Anolis sagrei: one gene and its partner. The protein of the gene in region 1 interacts with the protein of each later gene in a biochemical or structural test. Links are inferred from orthologs where the notes say so. Each region holds a gene or a part of one and is shown in the gene's direction. Other genes may lie near its edges.

What was found.
Region 2: of the proteins of MAPK8 (region 1) and JUN, one has a biochemical effect on the other in vitro, tested with the Homo sapiens proteins (76 studies listed by BioGRID and IntAct, with this or other methods). The link is inferred for Anolis sagrei from reciprocal best matches to the Homo sapiens genes MAPK8 and JUN.

Annotation. Positions count from the first base shown.
Region 1 is NC_090023.1:142,173,223-142,180,696, reverse strand, and holds the start of MAPK8 (mitogen-activated protein kinase 8), read left to right. Parts: upstream 1-4,393; 5' UTR 4,394-4,549; intron 4,550-7,474. UniProt on the Homo sapiens protein: Serine/threonine-protein kinase involved in various processes such as cell proliferation, differentiation, migration, transformation and programmed cell death.
Region 2 is NC_090024.1:169,476,885-169,483,945, forward strand, and holds the start of JUN (transcription factor Jun), read left to right. Parts: upstream 1-4,039; 5' UTR 4,040-4,968; coding exon 4,969-5,913; 3' UTR 5,914-7,061. UniProt on the Homo sapiens protein: Transcription factor that recognizes and binds to the AP-1 consensus motif 5'-TGA[GC]TCA-3'.

The DNA of each region.
Region 1 (7,474 bases):
ATGTCACACAAACTCAGATTACACATCTTTCCCTGAGAATAGTATGAATCACACTGCAAAGGACTTTCTGGTCCTGTCTTCTGCTGAAGCTTCACTGGGGCTGGTGAGGTAGACAGAATAATACCACCTTTCCGTAGGTCCCAAAGTCTGTTGTCATGCCTCCTAGCACCCTCAAGTCTCACTTGGAAGCACCTCCAAGCTTTCATATCAGGCATGTAGCCGGGGGGGGGGGGGGGGGGGCTCGGGGGGCTTCAGCCCCCCCCCCGAAATTCTCATGGTGGTTCGCGAAAAGGCCTTACTGGTGCATTATTTAAACTGTTATGTTTATTCATATCATGATCTGATCACCATACTCAATCTATCCCATATGCATGGGAGTATTGGGGTAATGATACAAAAGGTTTGCTAGGCTAGACCCTCTTTCACTCAGACTCAGCCCCCCCCCCGAAACTCAGCCCCCCCTGAAATTTTTTTAGCCCCCCCCCCCCCCCCCCCCGAAACAAAATCCTGGCTACGGGCCTGTTTCATATGTTTCTCCAAGCTGCTCATTTTCATTGGCAACAATCTCTCATGATCTTTGTTCCTTTTCCCTCAACAAATGTTGGGTATGTGTGCCACAATATGAATGAACGATAATTCCTAAAATCATGGGTCATTTCCCCCAGAACTCTGTCAGTATTCAAAGTTGGTCATGTTTGATAAATGTGCCATGCTTGGTCCAGATCCATCACTGGTGGGAGTTTGTTGGGAGAAGCACATGAGTGAAGCCGGCAAAGTGAATGAGCAAAAGGAAGACATATAGCAGCAAGGCATTACCACTGGCAAAGTGTACTCATATTGCACAATTGCTGTAGTTTGATGCCACTTTAACAGCCATGGCTCCACCCTATGGAATCCTGGAATCTGTGGTTTGGTAAGGAACTTGGAACTCTCCACTGTATTCTTACGCTGTAGGACAGAGAGCTGACAGTGAATTCTAAGTCCTTATCAAATTACAAGACCCAGAATTCTGTGGGATGGACCCATGACCGTTAAAGTGGTGTTGTAACTTCAACTATAGGGGGAACATAGATATATCCCAGGTTTCTTACTCTTAAAAATCTGTGGCACTTGAAGGTTGCTCAGTACAATGAACCACAATGCTGATAGGCCTATCTTGAGGTGGTCACTATGCTCAGTTGAATAAAAGATTGGAAAATCGAGTCTCTGCATTTATTTACAGATTTTACTGTTCATTTGTATGCTGGAATACAAACACAGACTTCACATTTGAAACAAAATTGTGCTGGATCAGGTTAATGATTCAGTAGAGCAGTGTTTCTCAAACTGTGCTCCTCCAGGTGTTTTGGACTTCAGCTCCTAGAAATCCCAGCCAGCATACAAGCTGTTAGAACTGTGGGAGCTGAAACCCAAAACATCTGAGGAAGCACAGTTTGAGAAACCCTTCAATAGAGAAAAGCAAATACAAACACCCTCTGGACAAATTTTGCTAAGATAACCTCACGATAAAGACCTACCTTAGAGTCACTATATTTATTTATTTTATTTATTTACTTTACTTATATACCGCTGTTCTCAGCCCGAAGGTGACTCACAGCAGTTCACAACAAATAATGTCAGAAATGACTTGAAGTAATACAAGAGATTCCTCCGTGGGAATTGCAAAGCAGGATATTATATACTATCTTAGGTACCCAGTGATGTAATTTGGCTATGTAATCTGGTAAGGATAAACATTAGAAAAAGTAATTGTGTGTTTTTGGATGTTATGAGTGGTCCCGTTAGAAAATGCATATGGATCAGGGTGAGCTGCAAGTCCCACTATCATCTGTTATTTTCCCCCAACGTTGGGCATGTTGAGTCTGTGTGCCAAGGCTGGTTCAGATCAGTTGCTGGTTGGGTTCACAGTGCTCTCTGGATGCAGGTAAACTGCAAGTCCTGAAATTCAAGGTCAATTCCCCCAAAACCCACCACTATTCAAAGTTGAACATGTGGGGTATGTGTGCCACATGAGGTCCAGATCCATTTTCAGCTGGGTTCACCATGCTCTCTGGATGCAGATGAACTACAACTCCCAAAAGTCAAGGTTAACCCCCGCTCCATACCCCACCGGTATTCTAAGTTGGGTATGTTGGATTTGTGTGCCAAGTTTGATTCAGATCCGTCATTGGACTGGGTTCACAGTGCTCTCCGGATGTGGGTGAATGGCAACTCCCAAAATTCATTGAAAGCCACTTCCCCCCATGTATTTAAAATTGGGCATGTGTAGCAAGTGTGGTTCGGATTCATCATTGGCTGGGTTCACAGTGCTTGCTGGATGTGGATGAACTACAACTCCCGAAATCATGGGTCAGTCTATTCTAAACCCCCCAGTATTCAAAGTTGACCATGTTGGGTATGTGTGCCAAGTTTGGTCCAGGTCTGTTGTCAGCTGGGTTCAGGGTGCCATCTGGATGTGGGTGAACTATAACTCCTGAAATCTAGAGTCAATCCCCCCACAAAGCCCTCCAGTATGTTCTGTTGGTTGACAGAAAAGGCTGCTGGCAAAAAAGATAAGACTGGTGAAATGTCTGCCCTTAGAGGCTGAGAAAGTATTGAAGAGAAACAACTGGAAAAGCTGACATGATACAAGGATTTAAAGATCGAACTGCAAAGACTCTGGCACAAGCCAGTCAAGGTGGTCCCGGTGGTGATCGGCACACTGGGTGCAGTGCCTAAAGACCTTGACCTGCACTTAAAACACAATTGGCGCTGACAAAATTACCATCTGCCAGCTGCAAAAGGCCACCTTACTGGGATCTGCACGCATTATTCGCCAATACATCACACAGTCCTAGTCACTTGGGAAGTGTCTGACGTGTGATCCAATACAACAGCCAGCAGAGTGTCTGCTGTGGACTCATCTTGTGTTTCTAATAATAATAATCATAATCAAATCATAATAAACTTTATTTATAACCCGCCACCATCTCCCCAAAGGGGACTCGGGACGGCTAACATGAGGCCAAGCCCAAAAATAACACAGCATAATTAGACACAAAAACAACAGAAAAATGTTGTTGTTCATTCGTTCAGTCGTCTCCGACTCTTTGTGACCTCATGGACCAGCCCATGCCAGAGCTCCCTGTCGGCCGTCACCACCCCCAGCTCCTTCAAGGTCAGTCCAGTCACTTCAAGGATGCCATCCATCCATCTTGCCCTTGGTCGGCCCCTCTTCCTTTTACCTTCCACTTTCCCCAGCATAATTGTCTTCTCTAGGCTTTGCTGTCTTCTCATGATGTGGCCAAAATACTTCCACTTTGTCTCTAGTATCCTTCCCTCCAGTGAGCAGCCGGGCTTTATTTCCTGGAGGATGGACTGTTTGGATCTTCTCGCAGTCCAAGGCACTCTCAGCACTTTCCTCCAGCACCACAGCTCAAAGGCATCTATCTTCCTTCGCTCAGCCTTCCCTAAGGTCCAGCTCTCACATCCGTAGGTGACTACAGGGAATACCATGGCTTTGACTAGGCGGATCTTTGTTGCCAGTCTGATGTCTCTGCTCTTTACTATTTTATCGAGACTGGACATTGCTCTCCGCCCAAGAAGTAAGCGTCTTCTGATTTCCTGGCCACAGTCTGCATCTGCAGTAATCTTTGCACCTAGAAATACAAAGTCTGTCACGGCCTCCACATTTTCTCCCTCTATTTTCCAGTTGTCAATCATTCTTGTTGCCATAATCTTGGTTTTTTTGATGTTTAGCTGCAACCCGGCTTTTGCGAACAGAAAAATACATCACAACAAAATACATAATATAACAAAATAAAATAAACAGTGCAAAATAACATAATAAAATCAAACACAAAGGGCGGGCCAAATGCATGAGATAAAATGTTAAAGCAGAATATTATATTTCAAACAGATTATGAAAACGAAGGCAGGTATCACACTAGAAGAAGAGGCAAGGAGTCTGCAAGCCATGTGGCTGCCTCCTCCTCCTGCGGAATTCTGGGACTTGTTGTTTAGAGGAGAGGCCTTTGAAAGGCTCAGCCAAGAGAGGCCCTGGGCCTCACTCAACTACAACTCCCAGAATTCTGCAGGAGGAGGCAGCAGCAGCGACAGGGTGACAGGTGGGCGGCCTCCTCTCTCAGCGCCAATGAGTGGGGTATAGCGTGAAGCCCCCTCGAGAAGCGCGCGCTGCGTGGCCATAGCAACCCATTCGGCGCCCTTGGACAAATCACAGTCTCCCATCTTCAAGGGGGACGCCAAGGCCGCGTTCAGTCTGAACCCAACCGGAAGGGGCTGGAAGGCGCGCCAAGCACTGCCCCCCCCCCAGGCAGCCAGGGGGAGGGGCTGCCACGCGCAGGTGCGGCGCCGGTGACGTCACTCCGCCTGGTCACCCCGAGCGGCGGATGCGGAAGCGGCCCACCAACCACCGCAGACCGGAAGCGCCGCCGCGGTGCCCATCCCGCCTATGCCTCAGTCCCTGCTTAGTCGCCCGGGGAGGAGGAGGAGAAGGAGGAGCGCCGCAGTCCGGCGCCGGCCGCCACCCGCCTCGGGTGCTCTCTGCCGGGTGAGCCAGCCTGGAGGGGCGGGAAGGCTTGGTCAGCGCGGCCTTGGCCGGCCTCGGGGTGGGAGAAGGAGGAGGAGGGGGGCGAGAGAGGGAGGCTGGGTCTGGCGAGAGGCGCAGGCAGGCTGGAGGCCCCGCCTGAGGGAAAGGGATAGCGGACCTGTGTTTATCTCATGGCTGAGGAAGCAGTGCACGTCCATGTGTGAGGAAGCGGACCTTACTGAAATCAAGATCAGCTGCCTTCACATCATTCCCTTCATCTACCAAGCTTGTAACTGTCGAGCAAAATACTCCTGTACTCCTGTACTGGGTTGCTGTGGGTTTTATTGTGCTGTATGGCCATGTTCCAGTAGCATTCTCTTCTGACGTTTCTCCTGCATCTATGGCAGGCATCCTCGGGGTTTTGAGGTCTGTGGGAATGAGGCAAGTGGGGTCATTGGAATGTCCAGGGTGGGGGAAAGAACTGTTTGTCTGTTTGAGGCAAGTGTGATTATTGCAATTGGCCAGCTTGATTAGCAACTGAAAAGCCCTGCAGCTGCAAAGCCTGGCGGTTTCTGCCTGGGGACGTGCTTTGTTTGAGAGATGTAAACTGCACTTGGTTGTTTTGTCGAAGTGAGACCTCACTACCTCTGAGGATGCTTGCCATAGATGCATGCGAAACGTCAGGGGAAAATGCCTCTAGAACTTGGCCATATAGCCCGGAAAATCCTACAACAACCCACTGGCACTTGATTGCTGACTAGAGTTCCCCTGCTTCTGAGAGCCCTTCCACACATTCCTATATCCCAGAATATCAAGGCAGAAAATCCCACAATATCTACTTTGAACTGGGCTATCTGAGTCTACACTGCCATATATTCTAGTTCAAAGCAGAAAATGTGAGATTTTCTGCCTTGATATTCTGGGATATAGGGATGTGTGGAAGAGCCCTGAATGGTGTTCTTTATTTGCTGTCTTGATTCTGGTGTTTTTTTTTAATACTGGTAATCAGATTTTATTTATTTTCATGGTTCTCTCCTTTTTGTTGAAATTGTCCACATGCTTGTGGATTTTGATGACTTCTCTATGTAGTCTGACATATTGGTTGTCAAAGTGGTCCAGCATTTCTGTGTTTTCAAATAGTATTCAGTGTCCAGGTTGGTTTAGCAAAAGGTGCCCCCAGGCAACAATAGCCAGGCTTTGCCACTGTAAGGCTACTCAGTTGTTAATCAAGCTGGCTAATTGCAACATTCACACTTGCCTCAAATAAACAAGAGTTCACACTGGATTTTCCACACACACACACATTTAATCTGAGAATTCCCACAGACTTCTCCCTCTAGTTGTCAACACAACTAGAATCCCCACAGACCTCTGAACAAACCTGTGAGGATGCCTGCCATAGATGCAGGTGAAACGTCAGGAGAGAATGCTTCTGGAACATGGCCATACAGCACAAAAAAATTCACAGCAACTCAGTGATTCAGCAACACATACTCCTGAACTGTTATGCAGTCCTGTCTTTTCTCTGTCCCGTTTTAGCATTTCACTATCATCTCTACACAGTCACCCTCCCTTTTCCTTGTTCTTCCTCTCCGCATATCAAATATGTCCCACATCTTATTAATCTGTGCACCATTTTTGTCTTCTAATGAATGGGTGCAATGATTAATAAGAGTGGGCCAAATTTTATATGGGAGAAGAAAGGTAAAAAAACCTTCAAACATACATTTATATTACCTAGTGAACAGAAAACAGCCATACCAGTGGCTCTTAAAATATAAACCATGAGCTCCATATCATTTTAAATTATCTTTAAATGTTTTTGTAACTTTAATAAGTTTTATTTGGTGTAAGCTATTGTGAAAGTGAAAATGTATTAATCTTTTGATTAGCCTGGAAAATATTGCCATTATTTGCTCTTCCCAAGTGCCACTGCCAGAACTCAGAATCTAATGAGGAAAGTACAGGTTGAGTGTTTTTAATTCTCAAATACTCCACAGTTGTACACGATAGTGACCTTTTGTGTACACATAAAATTATTACATTATTTTATAGGCTGTGTGTATAAGGTGTGTATGAAGCACAAGTGGATTTCATGTTTGGGCTTGGGCCTCATCTCCAAGATATCTCATTATGCACATACAAATATTCCAAAATCTGAAATCCAAAACCCTAATGGTCCTTACCAGTTTGAATCAGGGATACTCAACCTGTATTTTGTTCATTCTGTAGAGATGCAATCTACAAAGAGTGTTATCCCCAATCTGAAATCATTTCACTGGGAAACCCTACTCTGCAAAAGAGAGGTTACCAGTACATCTGCAACAGTGGTGTTTTTTTGGATTTGACAAGGCAACTGCTTCTGGGTACCAAACAACATAAGTGACTACGGTCAAAAGATAGGTATTCTTCCTGGTTGCTGTAGGGGCCCTTCCACACAGTCCTATATTCCAGAATATCAAGGCAGAAAATCCCACATTATCTGCGTGTTCAAAGCAGATATTGTGGGATTTTCTGCCTTGATATTCTGGGATATTGGGCAGTGTGGAAGGGCCCTCGGTAAGTGACCCTTAATATCTATGCCTACTCATTTAAAAGAGTCTTCAATCACAGGCATTGGATGGAGTTTTGTCTCTACTAGTACCTATTCATTGACCTATTTCAGAGGTTCCGTGAAAAATTACTAACTTGTTAACCCACCTTTGTTCAGTAAAAGTTTTGAGTCAGATGGTGGGATGGCTTACTTATCGCTCATTGTCAACCGAAAGAGCTTGAGTGAGCCATCTCCAGCATCCTTTCCTTATATTTGGTACCACAGCAAAACATATGGATTTTCCCACATTTTTAATAGCTGTCTTGCAATATAGCTTGCCTTGCAAATATACAGTGATACCTTGACTTACTAATTTAATTTATTTTGTGACTGAGCTCTTAACTCAAATTGCT
Region 2 (7,061 bases), on another chromosome or scaffold:
GGGACATGTTGACAAGCTGGAACGTGTCCAGAGGAGGGTGACTAAAATGATCAAGGGTCAGGAGAACAAGCCCTATGAGGAGCGGCTTAAAGAGCTGGGCACGTTTAGTCTGAAGAAGAGAGGGCTGAGAAGAGACATGATAAAGGTAAAGGTAGTCCCCTGACAATAAGTCCAGTCATGTCTGACTCTGGGGTGTGGTGCTCATCTCCATTTCTAAGCCGAAGAGCCAGCGTTGTCCGTAGACACCTCCAAGGTCATGTGGCCAGCATGACTGCATGGAGCGCTGTTACCTTCCCGCCGGAGCGGTACCTATTGATCTACTCACATTTGCATGTTTTCGAACTGCTAGGTTGGCAGAAGCTAGGGCTGACAGCGGAAGCTCACGCCGCTCCCCGGAATCGAACCTGCGACCTTTCGATCAACAAGCTCAGCAGCTCAGTGCTTTAACCCACTGCGCCACTGGGGGCTCCGACATGATAGCCATGTATAAATATGTGAGAGGAAGTCATAGAGAGGAGGGAGCAAGCTTGTTTTCTGCTGCCCTGGAGACCAGGACGCAGAACAATGGCTTCAAACGACAAGAGATTCCATCTGAACATTAGGAAGAACTTCCTGACTGTGCGAGTAGTTCGGCATTGGAACTCTCTGCCCAGGAGAGTGGTGGAGGCTGCTTCTTTGGAGGCTTTAAGTAGAGGCTGGATGGCCATCTGTCGGGGTGGTTTGTATGCCATTTCCCTGATTCTTGGCAGGGGATTGCACTGGATGTCCCACGAAGTCTAGGATTCTAAGTCACACTCTCTCTGCCTCGTGGGAAAGGCAAAATGGCAAGGAAGAACCAGAGCTGGGTTCAGGTTCACCCAAGCGTTGAAGTAGGTCGGCTTTAGGACCGCGCGTTCCCGCCTTCGCCCTTTTGCCCATAGAAAGGCACAGAGGAGGCGGCAGGGAGAAGCCGAGGAAATCCGACCCTCCTCCTCCTCCGCCCCAAATCACGCGGGAAGGAAGGGAGCTCCCCTCCCCCTCTTTCTCCTTCGTGTGGAGAAGGAAGAAACCCGCGCAAAGCCTTCGCAGGCTCTCGGCCAAAGCGTGACGAGATGTAAACGTCGGAGGGAAGGCAGAACGGAGAACGGAGGAGAATTAAGGCAGCTTGACACCACTTTAACTGCACCCCACGACCCCGTTTATGGGGAAAGCAAGTCTCTGGGAGTTCCGCGGGAACAGAGAGTCATACTTAACCCCCCACCCCACCCCCTTACAAAGGTTAGCTCAGGAAGATGACGCTGGAGAAGGGCTTCCAGGGGAAAAGATGCGCGCATATTTACAGCCCATGACCAGACGGTTGCAAAGCTCTTCTTCCTCCCTCCCTCCTTCCTTTTCCCTGCGTGGAAGGAAGGAAGCTCTGACGGAGGAGGGAAGGAGCGTCACGTGGAAGTCAGCCCATCGCAGGCCCTTCGCTCCCTCCTCCCTCCGGATCCGCGGCAGCACCATTCCCGGAAGAAGGCAGGGATCCCGGGATCCAGAAATGCGCCCCAAATCCGAAAATTTTCCCCATTGGAGGCTGAGACAGTGGCACCTTTGCAGTCTGAAGCATCAGAGTGAATTCTTGTTTAAACTTGGGTCCCTTATGTTATATTGTATTATACATACATACATATACACGTACACACTTGAATTCTGGTTTAAACTTGGGTCCTATAGATATATAGATCTAGATCTATATATAAATAAAAATGTAATGTTCGTTTGTGGGATTAACAGAACTCAAAAACCACTGGATGAATTGACACCAAATTTGGCCACAAGACACCTACTAACTCAAGGAGTGACCATCATTAAAAAAAAAATGATTTTGTCATTTGTGAGTTGTAGTTGCTGAGATTTATAGTTCTCCAACAACCAAAGAGCATTCTGAACTCCACCAACGATGGAATTGTGGCATACAGTTCTCCCATGATCAACAGAAAATACTGAAAGGGTTTGGGAGGCAGTGTCCTTTGGTTTTGGAGTTGTAGTTCATCTACATCCAGAGATCACTGTGCAGTCAAACAGTGATGGATCTAGACCAAACTCTACCCAAATATTCCATATGCCCAAATGTTAACACTGGTGGAGTTTGGGGAAAATACAATCTTGACATTTGGGAGTGGTAGTTGCTGGGATTTATAGTTCACCTACAATCACATTGCCACCAAATTTAGCCAGAAGATTCCTATTAACCCAAGGAGTGACCACCACTCAAAAAAAATTTCTCATTTAGGCGTTGTAGTTTATGGGATTTATAGTTCACCTACAATCAAAGAGTATTCTGAACTCCACCAATGATGGAATTGAACCAAACGATATGCAGGACACCCATGACCAACAGAAAACACTAGAAGGGTTTGGTTGACATTGGCCTTGAGTTTGGGAGTTGTACAACCAGAGAGCACTGTGGACTCAAACAATGATGGATCTGGACCAAACTTGGCACAAATATTCCATATGCCCAAATATGAACACCTGAGTTTGGGGGATTTATACACTTGGGAGTTGTAGTTACTGGGATTTATAGTTCACCTACAATCAAAGAGCATTCTGAACCCCACGAATGCTGGCAAACTTCCCACACAGAACTCCCATGAGCAGCAGAAGATACTTAAGGCCATCTAATCCAACTCCCTTCACCAGCGCAAGAAAACGTAATCAAAGCCCTCCTGACAAAGGGCCATCCAGCCATAGATATAGATATATATGATCCACACACAGAGAGAGATATAGATTTGAAAGCGATTCCACCAAAAAAGACAATTATATGTAGCATGTTCCACATTAGGCAAACCAGACAATCTCCACATCAACACTCACAAAGAAATAGCAAGAAATACTGTTTACCCACAAGCATAAAGACATTACATATATTAGAAACCAACACTTTCTCGTTACTTTATTTTCCAGATCACCAGACTGGGCCACAGCAACGTGTGGTAGGGGACGGCTTTTAGATATATAAAAGTCCCTTATATTATAAACAAGAATTCTAGAATATTATAATATAATAAATGGGATCCAAGTTTAAACAAGAATATAATATAATATATATGACCCAAATTTAAACAAGAATTCATATATATATGAATTCTTGTTTAAACTTGGATCCCATTTATTATATATTATATTCTTGAATTGTTATTTAAACTTGAGTCCCTTATATTTTATATTATATTCTTGAATTCTTGTTTAAACTTGGGTCCCAGATATTACATTACATTATGTTATATTCTTGAATTCTTGTTTAAACTTGAGTCCCTTATATGATATTATATTAATTATATTATTGAATTCTTGTTTAAACTTGGGTCCCTTATATTCCTGAATTCTTGTTTAAACTTAGGTTCCTTATATTGTATTCTTGAATTCTTCTTTAAACTTGAGTCCCTTATATTATATTTATTATATTCTTGAATTCTTCTTTAAACTTGGGTCCCTTATATTCTTGAATTCTTCTTTAAAGTTAAGCCCCTTATATTATATTAATTATATTCTTGAATTCTTGTTTAAACTTGGGTCCCAAACACACACGCACACACGATCCAAGTTTAAACAAGAATATATATGAAAAATAGGTGGCAAGGGGCAGTTCAAAATGGTCCCAGTCATTTTGTGAGTTTGTAAATCCATTTGCGGAATAATAGTCACTTGCCTCTCTTTGGAACACAAAGTGGATCCTTCCACCTCCCCCCCCCCCCACACCTCCGTTCACTACTTGGTATCTCCCTAGTTATGTTACAACACGCCCCCCTCCTCCTCCTGCCCTGGCGCGTGTGCGCATGCGCGCGCCTCCTCCCCCTCCGCCTCCTCCCTCCCTCCCTCCTTCCCTGCCAACCCCGCCGGAGCTCCTTAAGCGGGTAACCCGATATTCAAAAACAATACGTCATCCCACAATGCCCCGCTGCAAACGGCAGCCTAGGCATTACCTCATCCCACAATGCCCCGCGAGCGACGAAAGAAAGGGCGGGGCTCGTCGGCGGAGAAGCTTCTAGCCGGGTGGGGTGGCCATGGAGATGGGCGCCTTTGCTTTGCAAACGGGCACAGGCCGGCGGCAGGCCTGGCCCCGCCCCCTTCCCCTCCGCGAGGCGGCGGCGGCAGCCAATGGGAAGGCCGCGGGGTGACATCATGGGCTATTTTTAGAGAGTTACTGCTCGCTGATAAGTGTTGGGACTCCACGCTGAGAAAGAGCTCAGAGTTGAAGCAAGCGCGAGCGCAAGCGGCACGAGAGGGAGGAAGAGCCGGAGCATTCGCCGCCGCCGCCGCCACCGCCACACGGTTCCCCTCAGAAGGCGAAGAGGAGAAGGAGCCTGCCTCGCTTTTGGGACGCTCTGTGAGGGGAAGACGACGCCGAGCGGCCCTTCAGGGGGAAAGGCGGCCAAGGGAGAACCCTGAACTTCTTGGGGTGCCCTCCATTTTATATCAGCAGGGATTGAGAGGAGAGGACGCGTCGTGGCGCCTCATTCTTTCCCGACTGGACTCTGGGAACGAGACTTTTCCTCTCCTTCTCCCGTGTGCTTCCTAGAAAACTTCATTTCTCCCCCTGACAGCCGCTCCTGAGAAAGAAGGGAGGCTTCAACAAGTGTGTGTTTGAACAACTCGGCGCAGGACACTCCCACCAGGGACGGAGGGGGTGGGGAGCCTCCATACTTTGAGAAAAAGTAAGTTGTGCTGGACTTCCACTCTCTTTGCGCCTGGATTTCGTACTCTTGGAGATACCAGCCTCTCTTTACTCCCCAGAGGGAAGGGACTGACAAGCCAATGCCTTGTGGCGAAAAAGTAAGACTGTAATCATTGATTCTTCGAGTTCTCCCAGAATAATATTTTGTTGTTGTTGACTTATTTGGTGGCCAGCACTGACTCTGATAAACTTTTTTTTTCAAAAAGTGACTGAATTCGCTGCTTAGTTTCTCAACTGGAGGGGAGCAAACTTGTGGACTGTGTTCTATGACTGCAAAGATGGAACCTACATTTTACGACGATGCCATCAACGCGACCTTCGTCCAGCCTGAAAGTGGCACTTACGGATATAACAATCCCAAAGTCCTGAAGCAGAGCATGACGCTCAATCTGGCTGACCCGTCCAGCAACCTCAAGCCGCACCTGAGGAACAAGAACGCCGACCTGCTGACCTCTCCCGATGTGGGCCTCCTCAAGCTGGCTTCTCCTGAGCTTGAGAGGCTCATCATCCAGTCTGGCAACGGGCTGATCACCACCACTCCCACCCCGACCCAGTTCCTGTGTCCCAAAAATGTCACCGACGAACAAGAAGGTTTTGCGGAAGGCTTTGTCAGGGCTCTCGCAGAGCTGCACAATCAAAACACCATGCCAAGTGTTACCTCTGCTGCCCAGCCGGCCAACTCTGGCATGGCCCCAGTGTCTTCCATGGCTGGAAACAATGGCTTTGGTGCCAGCTTGCACAGCGAGCCTCCTGTCTACGCCAACCTCAGCAATTTCAACCCCAGCACCCTCAGCACGGCGCCTAACTACCCCGCCAGCAACCTGGGCTACCCTCCGCAACATCACCTGAACCCTCCCATGCCGGTGCAGCATCCCCGCCTCCAGGCTCTGAAAGAAGAGCCTCAGACTGTCCCAGAGATGCCTGGGGAGACTCCTCCCCTGTCACCGATTGACATGGAGTCCCAGGAGAGGATCAAGGCGGAGAGGAAGCGCATGAGAAACCGCATTGCCGCCTCCAAGTGCCGGAAAAGAAAGTTGGAGCGGATTGCCAGGTTAGAAGACAAAGTGAAAACTTTGAAAGCCCAGAACTCGGAACTTGCCTCCACAGCAAACATGCTGCGAGAGCAGGTTGCGCAGCTGAAACAGAAGGTCATGAATCACGTCAACAGTGGGTGCCAGCTCATGCTCACACAGCAGTTGCAAACTTTTTGAAAAGAGAGTGGGAAGCAAACTGCGTTGGGGTGAAAATTAAGCGAAAAGAAAGAGAGGTGGGAGTTGGGAAGCTCACCTGGGTTGTGGGGCAGGAAGACAAGCCGGAAAGGCATTGTTCCAGAGAGCGCTTCCACGACTCCCAACACCACTTCCAAAGCATGCATGGAGAGAAAGAGACTGGGTGCCTTTCTGTCTGAGGTGGTGGCATGTCAGTTGGAAGTACAGCTCTCCGAAGTGCTGTTTCTGCTCAGACAAGGCTACAGAAGCCTGGTGTTAGCTTTTTCTTTCTTTCTTTTTAACATTGACCAAGACCTGCATGGACCTAACATTCAATCATCATTCAGTATTAAAGGTTAAACTGCAGTAGATACTGTAGATTGCTTTCTCTTAGTACTCATTTTTTAAAAAAAAAAAGTGGGGAGGGAGTTTGTGGGAGGCTAATGACTGAAGCTGAACTATACTGCCTGCCTTAGAGTCCAGTTGTGTATGTACAGATACTCTTTTTTATTTTGTGACAGCTGATAAATATCAAGTAAAACTACTTCATGACTTTGTAAGTTATTTTTATGTTCATGTGGGTTCAAGCCCAGTATTGTTTGTAAATAAGAGGATTTTTTTTAGCAACCTTGAGTTTTTTTTCCATTTGTAATAAAGTATATAATTTTTTATGTTTTATTCTGAAGAAGAAATGAAGAAAGGGTAGGTCATATTTAAGAAAATAATACTTTGCCCACTTTCTTTGATTAGTGCCATTAAGGCTACAACACTATATACACTTACCTAGGTGTAAATCTCATTGAACAAAGTGGGGTTTACCTCCGAGTAGACACGTGTAACATTGCACTGTCAGGCATATGCAGAATCAACTTGTGGTTAGATGTTAAAACTTCACTAATGCTATAAGTGGGGGAGGGGGGATCGAGTTCTGTAAATTCCACACTGGGTTAGTATGTAACAGCAGTGTAATCCTTTTTTTAAAAAAAAAGAAGAAGAGAGTTCTGTACTCCTGTTATAATAAAGCTATTGGTCTTTAGAGTACTGTGTGTCCTCTGTCACTGGAATACAAGAGGATGTGTTAAATGAGCCCCCATGGTCTGTTTTACAAGCTACTAACATAGTTTTCACAGAGATGAAGAAAAGTGGGAAAA